Linked DNA regions of Coturnix japonica. The protein of the gene in region 2 purifies or fractionates together with the protein of the main gene of each other region. This does not show direct contact. Links are inferred from orthologs where the notes say so. Each region holds a gene or a part of one and is shown on either strand. Other genes may lie near its edges. The genes, in order: AMOTL1, NF2 and AMOTL2.

What was found.
Region 1: the proteins of NF2 (region 2) and AMOTL1 purify together in Homo sapiens (affinity purification with mass spectrometry; 6 studies listed by BioGRID and IntAct, counting the BioPlex papers as one, with this or other methods). This does not show direct contact. The link is inferred for Coturnix japonica from reciprocal best matches to the Homo sapiens genes NF2 and AMOTL1.
Region 3: the proteins of NF2 (region 2) and AMOTL2 purify together in Homo sapiens (affinity purification with mass spectrometry; 5 studies listed by BioGRID and IntAct, with this or other methods). This does not show direct contact. The link is inferred for Coturnix japonica from reciprocal best matches to the Homo sapiens genes NF2 and AMOTL2.

The regions. Positions count from the first base shown.
Region 1 is NC_029516.1:165,956,029-165,959,670, reverse strand, and holds part of AMOTL1 (angiomotin-like protein 1), read left to right. Parts: intron 1-1,144; coding exon 1,145-2,039; intron 2,040-3,642. UniProt on the Homo sapiens protein: Inhibits the Wnt/beta-catenin signaling pathway, probably by recruiting CTNNB1 to recycling endosomes and hence preventing its translocation to the nucleus.
Region 2 is NC_029530.1:9,885,822-9,889,463, forward strand, and holds part of NF2 (merlin), read right to left. Parts: intron 3,447-3,642; coding exon 3,229-3,446; intron 2,553-3,228; coding exon 2,447-2,552; intron 1-2,446. UniProt on the Homo sapiens protein: Probable regulator of the Hippo/SWH (Sav/Wts/Hpo) signaling pathway, a signaling pathway that plays a pivotal role in tumor suppression by restricting proliferation and promoting apoptosis.
Region 3 is NC_029524.1:3,377,411-3,381,849, reverse strand, and holds the start of AMOTL2 (angiomotin-like protein 2), read right to left. Parts: upstream 2,934-4,439; 5' UTR 2,802-2,933; intron 2,689-2,801; 5' UTR 2,637-2,688; coding exon 1,963-2,636; intron 810-1,962; coding exon 578-809; intron 1-577. UniProt on the Homo sapiens protein: Regulates the translocation of phosphorylated SRC to peripheral cell-matrix adhesion sites. Required for proper architecture of actin filaments.

The DNA.
Region 1 (3,642 bases), on a different chromosome or scaffold from region 2:
AAGTTGCCAAAAATGACCTCAAAAACTGAACTCAGAACAGCACCTCCTCCTTGCCTAGGAAAATGGGAGGACTCTGCGGAGCTGAGGGCTAATTTTCACTTCTACCCCCACCAGGAGCACTCCTTTGGTGTAGGCACAAATACCTCACAACTCTTTGGGATGGGTGCACAAGTGAGGATCCAGCTAGGAGGGATTATGCCTTGCTCCAAGCAAGCTTCACTGTGTGCATCGCTTTCTATAACTAATGCTCATGTTGCTGTGCAGAACAAACAGGACTGAGATGAAGAAGGGAGCTGGAGGCTGTGTTGGTATTTGACCTAACCCCTGAGCTGAGTGGCTTCACTCCAGTTACAGCATCTGTAACACCTTATCCCATGCAAATGCAGCTTTTGAGGCTGGGTGAAGTTATACCTTGTCTCTGCATTACTTCAGTATGTGTGATGGTTGTCTGTCTGATCTGTGATGCTTAAAGTTCTGGTACTACACTGCGACCTTTATCATCTTCCTTTTATTCACCCAGCAAAATTACAAAAGTTGGTATTGACTTGCACTGAAATGGTGTTACTGGCCAGAAGGGAAAATGCAGTTTTAAGAGAGAATGCCAGAGCACAGATTTCCTCTTCAATTATGCTCCCAGAACTCTTTTTATTTTCAGAAGGATTTCAGGCTTTTTCTGTGATGCATCCTGTGCTGTATCTGATTGTGGCATGCAGTGCACTTGTGAGGGGATTCAGCTCTCTAACTTCAGCTGTCAAAAATGCGCTGTCTCATTTGGTATTGCTATGGAGGCTGCCTCTGAAATCTGTGCCAGGAGTCTCCAGGGAGGGATTTACCCAATTCCTGTTTTAGAGGAGATCACGTTTCCCTGTCCCACCATTGACTGGGGTGAGAGGTTGGAGCCGTGGGTAGGGGGGGGCCTGTGGAGAATGTTGAGGGGAGGGCTGGGGAAGTGATGGGGTCACTTCTCTTAATCAGAATTAGGGGTGAGCTGCCATAAGGAAATGAGAGTGGTGTAAAAGAATGGTACAGCTGCAGGGGGTAAGAGGAGCAGAGGGAGTGAGGCCCCCTTATGAAGAACACGGTGCTATTATTAGGTGGCCCAAAATAAGGTGTACTCCTAACCACTGCCTTCTCTTCCACCCAGCCGAGGAAGCCCTCTGCACCTTGCACCCTCCAGCCTTCCTCCGGAGCTCAGAGGTGGAGATGCGAGGCTCGGAGGAGGTGGCAGCCGGCACGGTCCTGCAGCGCCTGATCCAGGAGCAGCTGAGGTATGGCAACCCCAGCGAGAACATGAACCTGCTGGCCATCCAGCACCAAGCGACGGGCAGCGCCGGCCCCTCCAACAGCACTGCCAGCACTCTCTCTTCCACAGAAAACCTCGCGCCCGAGGACCCACAAATGGTCCAGCCATCGGCGCGGCAGGAACCGCAGGGGCAGGAGCACCAGGGGGACGGTGCTGCGATGGAGAAGCAGCCCCGGGCCGCACAGCCCCCACACAGCAGCGAGGAGCTCCCCACCTACGAGGAGGCCAAAGCGCAGTCGCAGTATTTCCGTGGGCAGCCACCGGCAGGGCCGGGTTTTTATGTCGCTGGTTCCTCTGGCCAGAAGTCCAGGACGGAGGGGAGGCCGACGGTGACTCGGGCCGGCAGCGGGCAGGCGCATAAGGATGATGCACTGAAGGAGCTGAAGCAGGGCCACGTGCGCTCGCTGAGCGAGAGGATCATGCAGCTCTCACTGGAGAGAAACGGGGCCAAGCAGCACCCGCCTGCCCCAGCAGGCAGCAAGGGGCTGAAGGCTGCCCCGGCACCCAGCAAGGGCATGGACCCGCGGGGCCCACCGCCCGAGTACCCCTACAAGGCCAAGGCGGCAGCAACGGTGTCCCCCAGCAGCAAGGCACCTGATCATGGGCTCTTCTATGGTGAGCAGCACCCAGCAGGGCCGCAGGACGTCCTCAAGGCCTCCTACATGGCCCCGCAGCCCTCCAGGACCGAGGTGGCCGTTGTCCGTTACCAGCCGCCCCCGGAGTATGGGGTGACCAGGTAATGCCCAGGGTGTGGGCCTGGCAGCTCGTGGCCATGGGGACCTGGTTGCCTTAAAGGCTTTCTCTTTCACCACTCTTTTAGATCTTGATATGAAAAGCTGGGAAGACTCCTGGCTGTCCAGCCAACCTTGTGTCCAGCTCTTGCTGTGTTTCTGTGTTGAGGTGTTGAAATGCAGGGCTGTGTCGGGGCAGCAACTGGGTTGTAACTGTTGTAATTCATATGGAAGAGCAGAAGTTTGGAGATGAGGTTTCACCTGTAACTGCATAAGGAGCGCACTCTAAGAGTGTGAAAGCTTATAACATAAACCTTGTATCCTTGAGATCTTCAGAACCCCAAATTAAGAAAAGGAAAAGTGGAAAAACCTGCATGAAGCTTAATTGTGAGATAGAGATATCTCTTTATTTCACATCTTTCTTCGCTTGATGGTGGGGTGAAATTGTTCCCTTTACGAAGAGGGCTAGATAAAGTGTATACATCACTTAGGCCCTACTTAAATTCTCCAAACAAAGCTTACATGAGACTTTTATGGAGCTTGGCCCCTTGTGCTGGGCCTCTGCATGTGGATGATTTTATTCCAAGCACATTACAAATAATCCACAGTGTTTATTTCCTGTGAGCTGATTGCTGAGAGCCACACGGCTCCTGCCAGCACTGCGCTGCCCAGCTCTGAAGGCAGGGGCTGGCCTGTGCCATGTCACAGCTTCCTTCATCATCTGTCCTTCCAGAGCTGTTTTTCTTGCTGTTCCTAAACACAAATGAGTCTCCATTTCATCCTTCAGCCTCCTAGGCGGTATTTTGCCAGCCTCACTGGGTTCACCCCACAAATCCTCATGTGAGGAGGGAAGTGTGGCTAGGAACCCACACACCTTGGCAGGTAACTGCTGAAGGAGATGGGATAACCACAGTTGTGGCTTAATTTGTTTGTTCTTCTGTGGCTGGCTGTCAAAGGGAATGCTGCCTTTGTAGTCACTGTGCTGAAATCTTGTAACTTGTCTGTAAATAGCAGTAGGACTGATACGGGATGTAGGATTTGATACTGCAGATATGAGTAGTGGTGTTGGAGTAGATGATCTTGGATGTTCCCTTCCAACCAGGCCACTAAGATGATCGGGGGGCTGGAGCACCACTCCTGTGAAGAAAGGAACTGGGCTTGTTTAGTTTGAAGTGAAGGCACAGGGGAGACCTCATTGTGGCCTTCCAGTACTTGAAGGAAGTGTATAAACAGGAGGTGGAATGGCTGCTTACATGGGTTGGTAGCGAAGGGACAAGTTGGAATGGTTTTAAACCAAGACAAGGGAGGTTTAGGTTAGATATTAGGAGGAAGTTTTTCACACAGAGGATGGTGACGCACTGGAACAGGTTGCCCAAGGAGGCTGTGGATGCCCCATCCCTGGAGGCATTCAAGGCCAGGCTGGATGTGGCTCTGGGCAGCCTGGTCTGGTGGTTGGTGACCCTGCACATATCAGGGGGTTGGAACTGGGTGATCACTGTGGTCCTTTTCAGCCCAGGCTGTTTTAGGATTCTATTCAACTATTCTATTCTAAGTCAAGGTACTTAGTGTTATTCTGAAGGCTTCTTCATAGGCTTCTGCAGGTGTCGT
Region 2 (3,642 bases):
ACAGGGAAAGCTCCTGCTGCTGCTGCCACTGCCTTCACTTTGCTACCTGAAGACTTGGGCAGGCCCTTCATATCCCAAAGAATCACAGAAGAGATGACTGCCTTTAGTCTTGCTGTGACTGGTACCTGAATGGCAGCAAAGGAGGCAGGAGGCACTGCCAAGTCAGTAAGGAATGAATTGTTCTCCCAGCATTGGCGGCCTGAAACTCAGGTTTGTTTTTTCTTTCCTGTGCATTATCCACCACCACCATCACAAAAGCAGTTTTGGCTTCAAGGTCTAAAAAGACACCTGAACAAGTTCTAAAAAGCCAGTACAAGGAACTGGAAAATTACCAAAGAAAAATTTTAACTGCTTCTTGTCATTTCTGTAACACATCCATCCTCTCCTCCCTTCCTCTTTTGCTTGTTTCCCAGGAGGGAAGTTCTGGCTTGCACTCCATGCCAGGGGACTACAGCACAAACTCTGGGAGAAAGAAAAATAACAAGCTCAGCGTTACACCCTCATTAAGGAAGAGAAGAGCTGGAATCTGGTACCGTTTGGCAGAGCTGCCATTCACCTGAGGGACACCAGCCTCCCAGCAGCAGCTTTCAAAACCCTTCATCCCTCAGGCCACTTTGGGTTTATTCCCTCTCTGCTACTGCGCCTGCCCAGCACAGTCCCTTCAGCCCAATCCTGCGCAGGAGAAGCATTTCAGCACATCTCACTCATCTGTCCCAAAGCACTCACGTGGCAGAGTGAGAGACGCTACAAAGGAAGAGAAACATGAGGCAGGTGTAACAAGGGATGGAGATGGGGTGCTTCACACACAAGGGCCCAGCAAGTTACTGTCACATGGATACAAGTCTAACAGACATAAGACAGCCAGCTGGCCTTGGAAAAGCAACAGACATTGCGTCTGTGTGATGCAGTGCTGCTCCCATGGCTGGGAGGGGGCAAGAAGAGCTATGAGAGGGGACTCTGTCATCTAAATGGGGAGAGAAAAAGGCAAGCCACAGCTCTTTGAGGAAAGGAGGATACAGCACTTTGTGACTGGAGGCGGCAGCTCTGCACAGATTGCCTCTAGGACAGATGCAGCTGGAGGGGTGGAGCTGAGCTCCATGCAATCCTGCACTACCTCCTGTAATTAGGCTTTAACTCCACAGGCAGGAATACAGTCACGCTGCTGATCGCTAGTGCGGGCAGCACAGGGATTTATGCACAAGAGCTCACTAGCTGTGGTTCTGCTCGTTTGACTAAGGATGAGCACAGCCACGTGAGGGAACCTGGATGTGAGAGCTCTGCCCAGACATCAGCACTGGGCTGATGTAGCCATTCAGTAGGTTTCCAACAAGTATGCTCCACCCTGTGAGTAAATTAAGCTCAGAATTCACAAACTGGTGGATCCCAGAACCCTGCAGCAACATAAGGAGCTCTCCAAAGATAAGGTTTAGAAAGCATCAAGCCTTACAGCACTTGACTGAAGGCCCTGAGGCTAAAAACACCCGACTATTTTCCATCGTTGCCGTTTCTTAAACGCTTCTGAATGTTTCTGCAGGGATCTTCAGAGAATCTGGATGAAAAGCTTCTTCATCACTAACCCTCTTCAATCTGCTTCCCAGAAGTTTTGAGGGGAGAGGGAGGAAAGGAGCTAACACGTACAAATTAAAGCTTCAGTACTAGACAGGTCAGTAACTCCCACGTATGTCTGTTGAGTTTATTCCTGAAGATGTCAAGTTCTTCCCCCTTCACCTCTCTGGACAAAGTGCAGCAGCAAAGGCAGTCATGGCAGGTGCAAGCTGTGGGGAAGGAGCGCCTGATGGCATCTGCAGGTCCTGCAGCACAATTAGGGAAGCTGAGGAAAGGAACTGCCAGACAGAATGGGAGCAGTGGTCTTTTAGTCTGGTGTTTCAGTCCCTGGCAGCAATCAGGACCAGATGCTTCAGAGGAAGGTGTGAAATCCTCTTAATGGGCAATTACAGAACACTCCCCCTTCAATGAAGTTGGTTTTTCAGCACATAGATGCACAGAGACCAGTTTATGCCTGAGAATGAATTCACAGATTTGGAACAATATTCATTCTTCCTAACAAGTATCAGACCATCCTCAGTTCTGTATTTAATCCTATTTTAAAAGCTCTTACAGAGCTGGTCAACTCCACATGCAAAGCACGGCACGTTTCTTAGATTACTTTACAGTTTGTTGCATTTAATTCCATCGGCAGCTCTCTGGCCTTTGTAGAATAAAGCAAGATAGATAGGGGGAAAAAGGTGAGCAAAGCGTTCTGGTGGACAAGTTACTTAGACGAAAAGGGCAAGTGCTCCTAAGTATTACAGAACAGCTACTAAGCAATACAGTGAGATGATTCATACCCCCCTACTGATGGGATAGAGACACAAGACTGCTCTAGACTACGGAGGATGCCAGTTACTGTCTGGAAACTAGCAATGACAATACTGATGATTCTTACCGTGTAGGATGACTTGCTGGTGATTTCCAAAAGCTTCTGCTTTGCTCTCCGCTCAGACTCTCGAGCCTCCTGAAGGTCCTGCTTTAGCTGATCAGCCTCCTTTGCCCTACCAAGGAAGAACAGCAAAAGGCAATGTTAGGTCCAAGTTTGGAGGCTGATAAACATGATTACACCATAGGTGTAAAACAGGTAGAGAGTTATCCCTTAGCAAGGCCTAAACAAAGAAATCATTTGGGTAAGGGAAACACTGGAACCTCTGACATGTAGGACACTAACTAGCACAAAAATCCACGCCATAGAAGGACAGCTCTGGCACGAACTCTGCATGAGCAGCAGTAAGCAAAGCTAAGGGGTGGAGCAGCACATCAGAATGCCAGGAGAGGAAAAGACCCATAAGTTGAGCTCCCTTCAGCTGTTGCTGTCAGGGCGTGAAAGGCAGAGCACCAGGGCCCTCTAGGTGATGTCCCCTTTCCCTGTTCCTTTCACCATAGCATCAACCCTTCCAATAAAAGGGCTTCAAAGAAGGGACGTCTGATCAAAGAAAAATCAGGGCCACCACTGTTCTACCTGTACCATTTCCTATGCAGGGATAGCCTAGTTGTGGCAAACAGCAAAACAGAGAGAAATCAGCTGAGCCTTGGGGTCAGTTGCTGTTGTGCATGCAGGGGAGGCCAAGGACTCACTGCAAACTCTGAACTACCTCAAGGTGAGCCACAGTTTTGCTAAGTCAGAAGGGGGCTGGAAAGCAAAGCAGAGACAGCTGCAAGGTTGTACCCTCTGACCTCCTCTCTGACTCCTCCGCCATTTTCAGTGCCAACATCTCAGCTTCTAGCACCTTCTGTTCCATCAGTCGCTTCTCCTCCTCCGTCCGAATGGCCGTGGCTTTGATTCGCTGCATCTCTTGCTCAGCCTCTGCTGCTTTCTGAGCCAGGAGCTTTGCCTCCTCCTCCGTGATCTGAGCCTTCTCAGCCAGCAAATCAGCTGTCTCTTCAGACCTCATCTGAGAATAAACACATGTTAAGTCAGCAAGCACACAATGTCCCCTCGAATGTGCTCTCAAGCCTGGAGCAAGGCCCCAAACTGAACATTCCACATGACCATCGTGGCTCACCAAGTCCCCCTCTCTTCCATGAAAGCCTGCAGCTTCCTGCAGCCAAAACCTGGACACAGCAAGGCTCCGTCCCAACTCATTCTCC
Region 3 (4,439 bases), on a different chromosome or scaffold from region 2:
CAGTGTCCGTCTGTCCAGCAGGGAACAGCCCTGTCCTTGTGCAAAGCTGTACAAAGGGCTTTCTGTGGTGGCCGGGCACGCTCCTGGGGCGGGTGGAGACAGCCTGAGTGCTACTGGAGCCTCAGAATGGGCTCTTTTTCCCCTCTCTTCCACACTTGGCCAAGGAGCCGTGCTGCCACCAAAGCGCAGCTGCTTGCTGTGGGGGGCAGCCACCGGAGGGAGGGGGCAGAGATTAAAACACAAAAGGGGGTGAATTTTCACAGCAGCTGCTTGATCCTGCCCCAGGCGGCAAGGAAGCAAATGCACGAGCTCGCTCAAAAACAAGGGACAAAGCCGCACTGTGCAGATGAGGCCATTTCCAGGTGTACCTGCTCTCAGCCTAAACCTGCTGCCCGTGACACGGCAGGAGGTCAATGAGCCCTTCCCTTCCCCCCAAGGGATGGATGCTGGTGGGTGAGGTGCTGGGTGGGAGCAGAGGTGGGCTGAGCATCTGCACCCATTGCCCACATCCCAAATAACCAGCAGGGCTGGGGTCCTGCATCCTCAGCGTGCTGACAGGAAGCAAAGGCCAGCTCACCTTCTGGATCCTGCTGGCTTTCTCCGTGCAGCTCTCCAGCTCCCGTCGCAGCCTCTCATTGTCCAGCAGCAGCCTCTCATTCTCCCGCATCACAGCATCCACCTGGGCCAGCCGGCTGCCAGCTGAGGCCGCCTGTGCACTCACCAGGGCCTCCACACCAGCAGGGCTGAGAGAGCCCAGCGTGCTCGGTGAGGGCAGGAACGCTGCGGGGACGGGTGCTGGCATCAGCCTGCTGGGGGGAAAGAGAGGGGTGCTCAGCCACTTCATGGGGATGGACACACTGGCCACCACAAGCACCCTGCCCACATGTTCTCCTCTGTCAACCAACCCGTGTGGATACGCAGAGCTCCTGAAGCACCTTTGGACAAAAGAGGTGCTGGGTGCCCATGGGTCATGCTCAGGAGGATGAGTGCTCAACCTGCCCTGCACAGCTGGGAAGGGTTGGCTTTGGGCACACAAAATACGAAGGAAACCCCATCTGACAGCACTGCCTGCAGCTTGAGCACCTCCACACCCAGGATTTAAGCACCTGAGAACATCAGGACTTGACTGCTAGGCCGGGGGGGGGGGGTCAGGGGGGCTCAGTACCACCCTGCTGCTGGGTGATGCAGTCAAGAAAAACCCTCAGCAAAGATGTATGTTGGAAACCTGCAGCACTACCACTTCTCCTCATGGTTTCCTGGGCAAGGAGAGGGCTCCTGGCTCCAAGCCTTGCCACCACACTGTTAATACAACCCCATTCTATCACCCAGAGTTCCTCGACATCCCATGGCTGCCTCAGCCATCCTGAGCCATGTGGCCGCCGTGCTGGAGCCTGCATTCCTATGGGGTGATCCAGGAGCGAGGAAGAACAAATGCATCTTCCTCACAGTTCTGCTTCCCCTCTTTGTTCCCTGGAAGGAGAGCTGTTTCCTGCCAGAAATGCTATCACTCCCTGCCCTGGTAAGTCAGCTTGGAGCTCCTGCCTATAGCAATTCCATGCCAGAACACCACACTTCCCAGCCTTCCCTGAGCACCAGGAGATGCCCAAATCTCCACACCCACAGACCTCCAAGCAGAGGCAGGTTTTGCTGGAGGTGTCAATGGGCTGGAAGGAAGGAGCAGTGCTCAGCGCTCCCATACACTCTGCTGGAAGGCACGGGGCCGGGGGCACCCTCAGCCGGGGAGGCCAGGCAGCTTTTTCCACTCCGAGCAGCACATTTTCCTTCCACGCTGGCTCACGCCTGTTCCGAATTTAGCCATTTCCTGACCTGCCTCCAACTCCTGCATTAACCCCGAATCCCTCCCGGAGCAGCGGAGTTTTCACTGCCGGATGGAAATCCTGAACCAACCGAGGCAAACCGGGGCCAACCAGCACCCAAGAAGCGGCGAGGGCTGTGGGTTACCTGACTTCGGGGTGCTGGAAGCCGGCCCCGTCCCGGGAGCAGGGCCGGGACAGGTAAGCGACGGCCGCCTCCTGGCTGGGGAGGATGTAGGGATACTCCGGTGGAGGCCCGCGAGGCTCCGTTCCCTCGGGGCGCTGCCCTCGCAGGGTGTATTGCCGGGAGAGCTGCGGGAAGCTGTGGGACGAGCTGATGGGGCCGTGCGCTTTGGCCCCGTTCCTTTCCAGCGACATCTGCATCAGCCGTTCGCTCAGCGACCGCACGTGGCCGTGCTTCAGCTCCTTCAGGGCGTCGTCGGGGCGTCGGGTGCCGCCGTGCTGCTGCCCTGCCCGCTGCCCCGCGTAGTATTGCGAGTGCGCCTTGGCCTCCTCGTAGCTGGGGAGCTCCTCGCCCTTGTGCTGGGGCTGTGCCGGGCGGTATCCGCCGTGCTCGTTGTACAGGTGGTCGGCGTGGTGCTCCTGGCCCTGCGGCTCCTGCCGGGCGGACTGCGGCACCATCTGGCTCTCCTCCTGGGTCAGACTCTCCAGCGACGAGCGGGGGCTGCCGGCCGTGCCGCCGCGCAGCGCCTGTTGCTGGATGGCCAGCAGCGTGCGGTTCTCCGTCAGGTTCCCGTAGCGCAGCTGCTCCTGGATCAGGCGCTGCAGCACCGTCCCGCTCGAGTCCTCCGCCGTCCTCATCTCCGCCGCGTTCCGTCCGTCCGTCCGGGGGCTCTACGAGCGACGCGGGCACCTGCGGGGGGACACGGGGACGTCAGCGGGATTGGGGCCGGAGGAACGCGGCTCTCCCCACGGCTGTGCGGCTCCTCGGGGACGGGGGATTGGGGGGAGGGCGGCGGTACTTACCGGGGCATGGCGGAGCGGCGAGGCCGTGCTGCCGCTCGGGGAACGAGGCCACTGCCGACTGCGGGCCCCGCCGGTAGCGGGGGCCGGGCTCGGGCGCTGCTATGCCCGGAATGCGGGGCCGGGCCCGCCCCGCCCCGCCGCCACCTCCTCCTCCTCCCCGTCCTCGCTCCGCCGCCAGGGGGAGCAGCGCCCGCCCCACCGCCATTCGGGGCTGGGCCGGTCGGTGTCGGCGCTGGGCCGGGGGCTGCCGAGGGGTTGGGGCAGCAGCTGCCGCCCGGGGGGGCTCCGAGGCTGTGCCCGCCAGCTGCCCGCCTGCATAAATCTTCGTGCCTGATCCCGGCCCCGAGAGACGCGCCATTGTCTCCCGGCCCTACAAAAAAAAACCGCGGCCCCATCTGCTCTGCCCTCTGCCAGCGCCGCTCCCCTTCCCCAGCGCAGCCCCCCGACCCCCGCCTCTCGTGCGGGATACACGCGTGCTTTGCTCCTTCCCTTTGTGGGGTGCAGCAGGTCGGGACCCGCGGCACGGAGCCCGGGGCTGCCCGGCTTTGCGGAGCCGCTTCCCCGTCGTGCGGCCGCAGCGGAGGAGCCGCGGGACCCCCAGCGCCGGGCACGTCCGCCCGCGGGGCCCCGAGACGGCAGATGGTCCGAGGGGCGGCCGAGGAGCAGGTGCAGGGAAAATTGCTAATTAGATACGGGACATTAAGCTCTCATTCTTGAGAGAGGGAATTTGGCACCTTCCAAAGGCCGAACAAAGCCCGGAGCGCGCCGACGGGCTCTTCCTTTTGCCATCCTTTGGGGGGCTTTGTCTGGGGGGAGGAAAGGGACTGGCTGTGGGTAACGCTCTCTGCTCGGCCAGACACCGCTGCATCCTTCAGAGGCACAGATGCACGCTGCACAACCTGAAATTCGGCCAGCCTCCCCTGCCGGCCCCCAACCATGGAGGTATCGGGCTGACGTTCAGCACCCAGCCGCTCACTGACTGATAACGGGGCTGAGAAACGAGCCCTGGACACAGAGCAGGTGTGGGCGAGATCCCAAACCCTACCGGGGGTCTCTTAGTGGGATGGGGGCACCCAGCATGCCGGAGGTCCCAGCTGCCCCCCCGGCTCATCCAGCAGCCTTATCTATGCCTGCGTCATCCCGCTTCCCTTCCTATCTCCACACCGCTCTATTTTTGGCAGCAGGAAACCCCTCCTGGGCTGATAACAGCACTTTGGAAAGTGATCTGAAGAGGAAAAGCCCTCTGCTCCTCTTTTTCTTTCTAACACGGCAGATATGGGAAGCTTCCACCTTTCCATGCTCCCCCTGGACGAGCCTGACCAGCTGCTGGCTTCTTCACACAGCCCTTCCCCATCCACAGACCCACACAGACCCACTGCTTCCCATCAGAAGATGAAGCACGTGGAAAGGTGAAAGCAGCCCACAAAGCCCAGACTTGGCTGTTGTGCAGGGAAGGGATGCAGGGGCTGGAGATGGAGATGGAGATGTGCGGTGCTGTGTCAAAGGCGAGATGCTCGGAATGCTTGTGACTGCCAATAGCCATCCCGGAGCTTCAGATCCTCTTAGCTGTGAGATTAGATATCAGATGAGTCGGTATCTCCTTTTAGAGATGAACAGGCAGAACCAGTGTTAATTTTA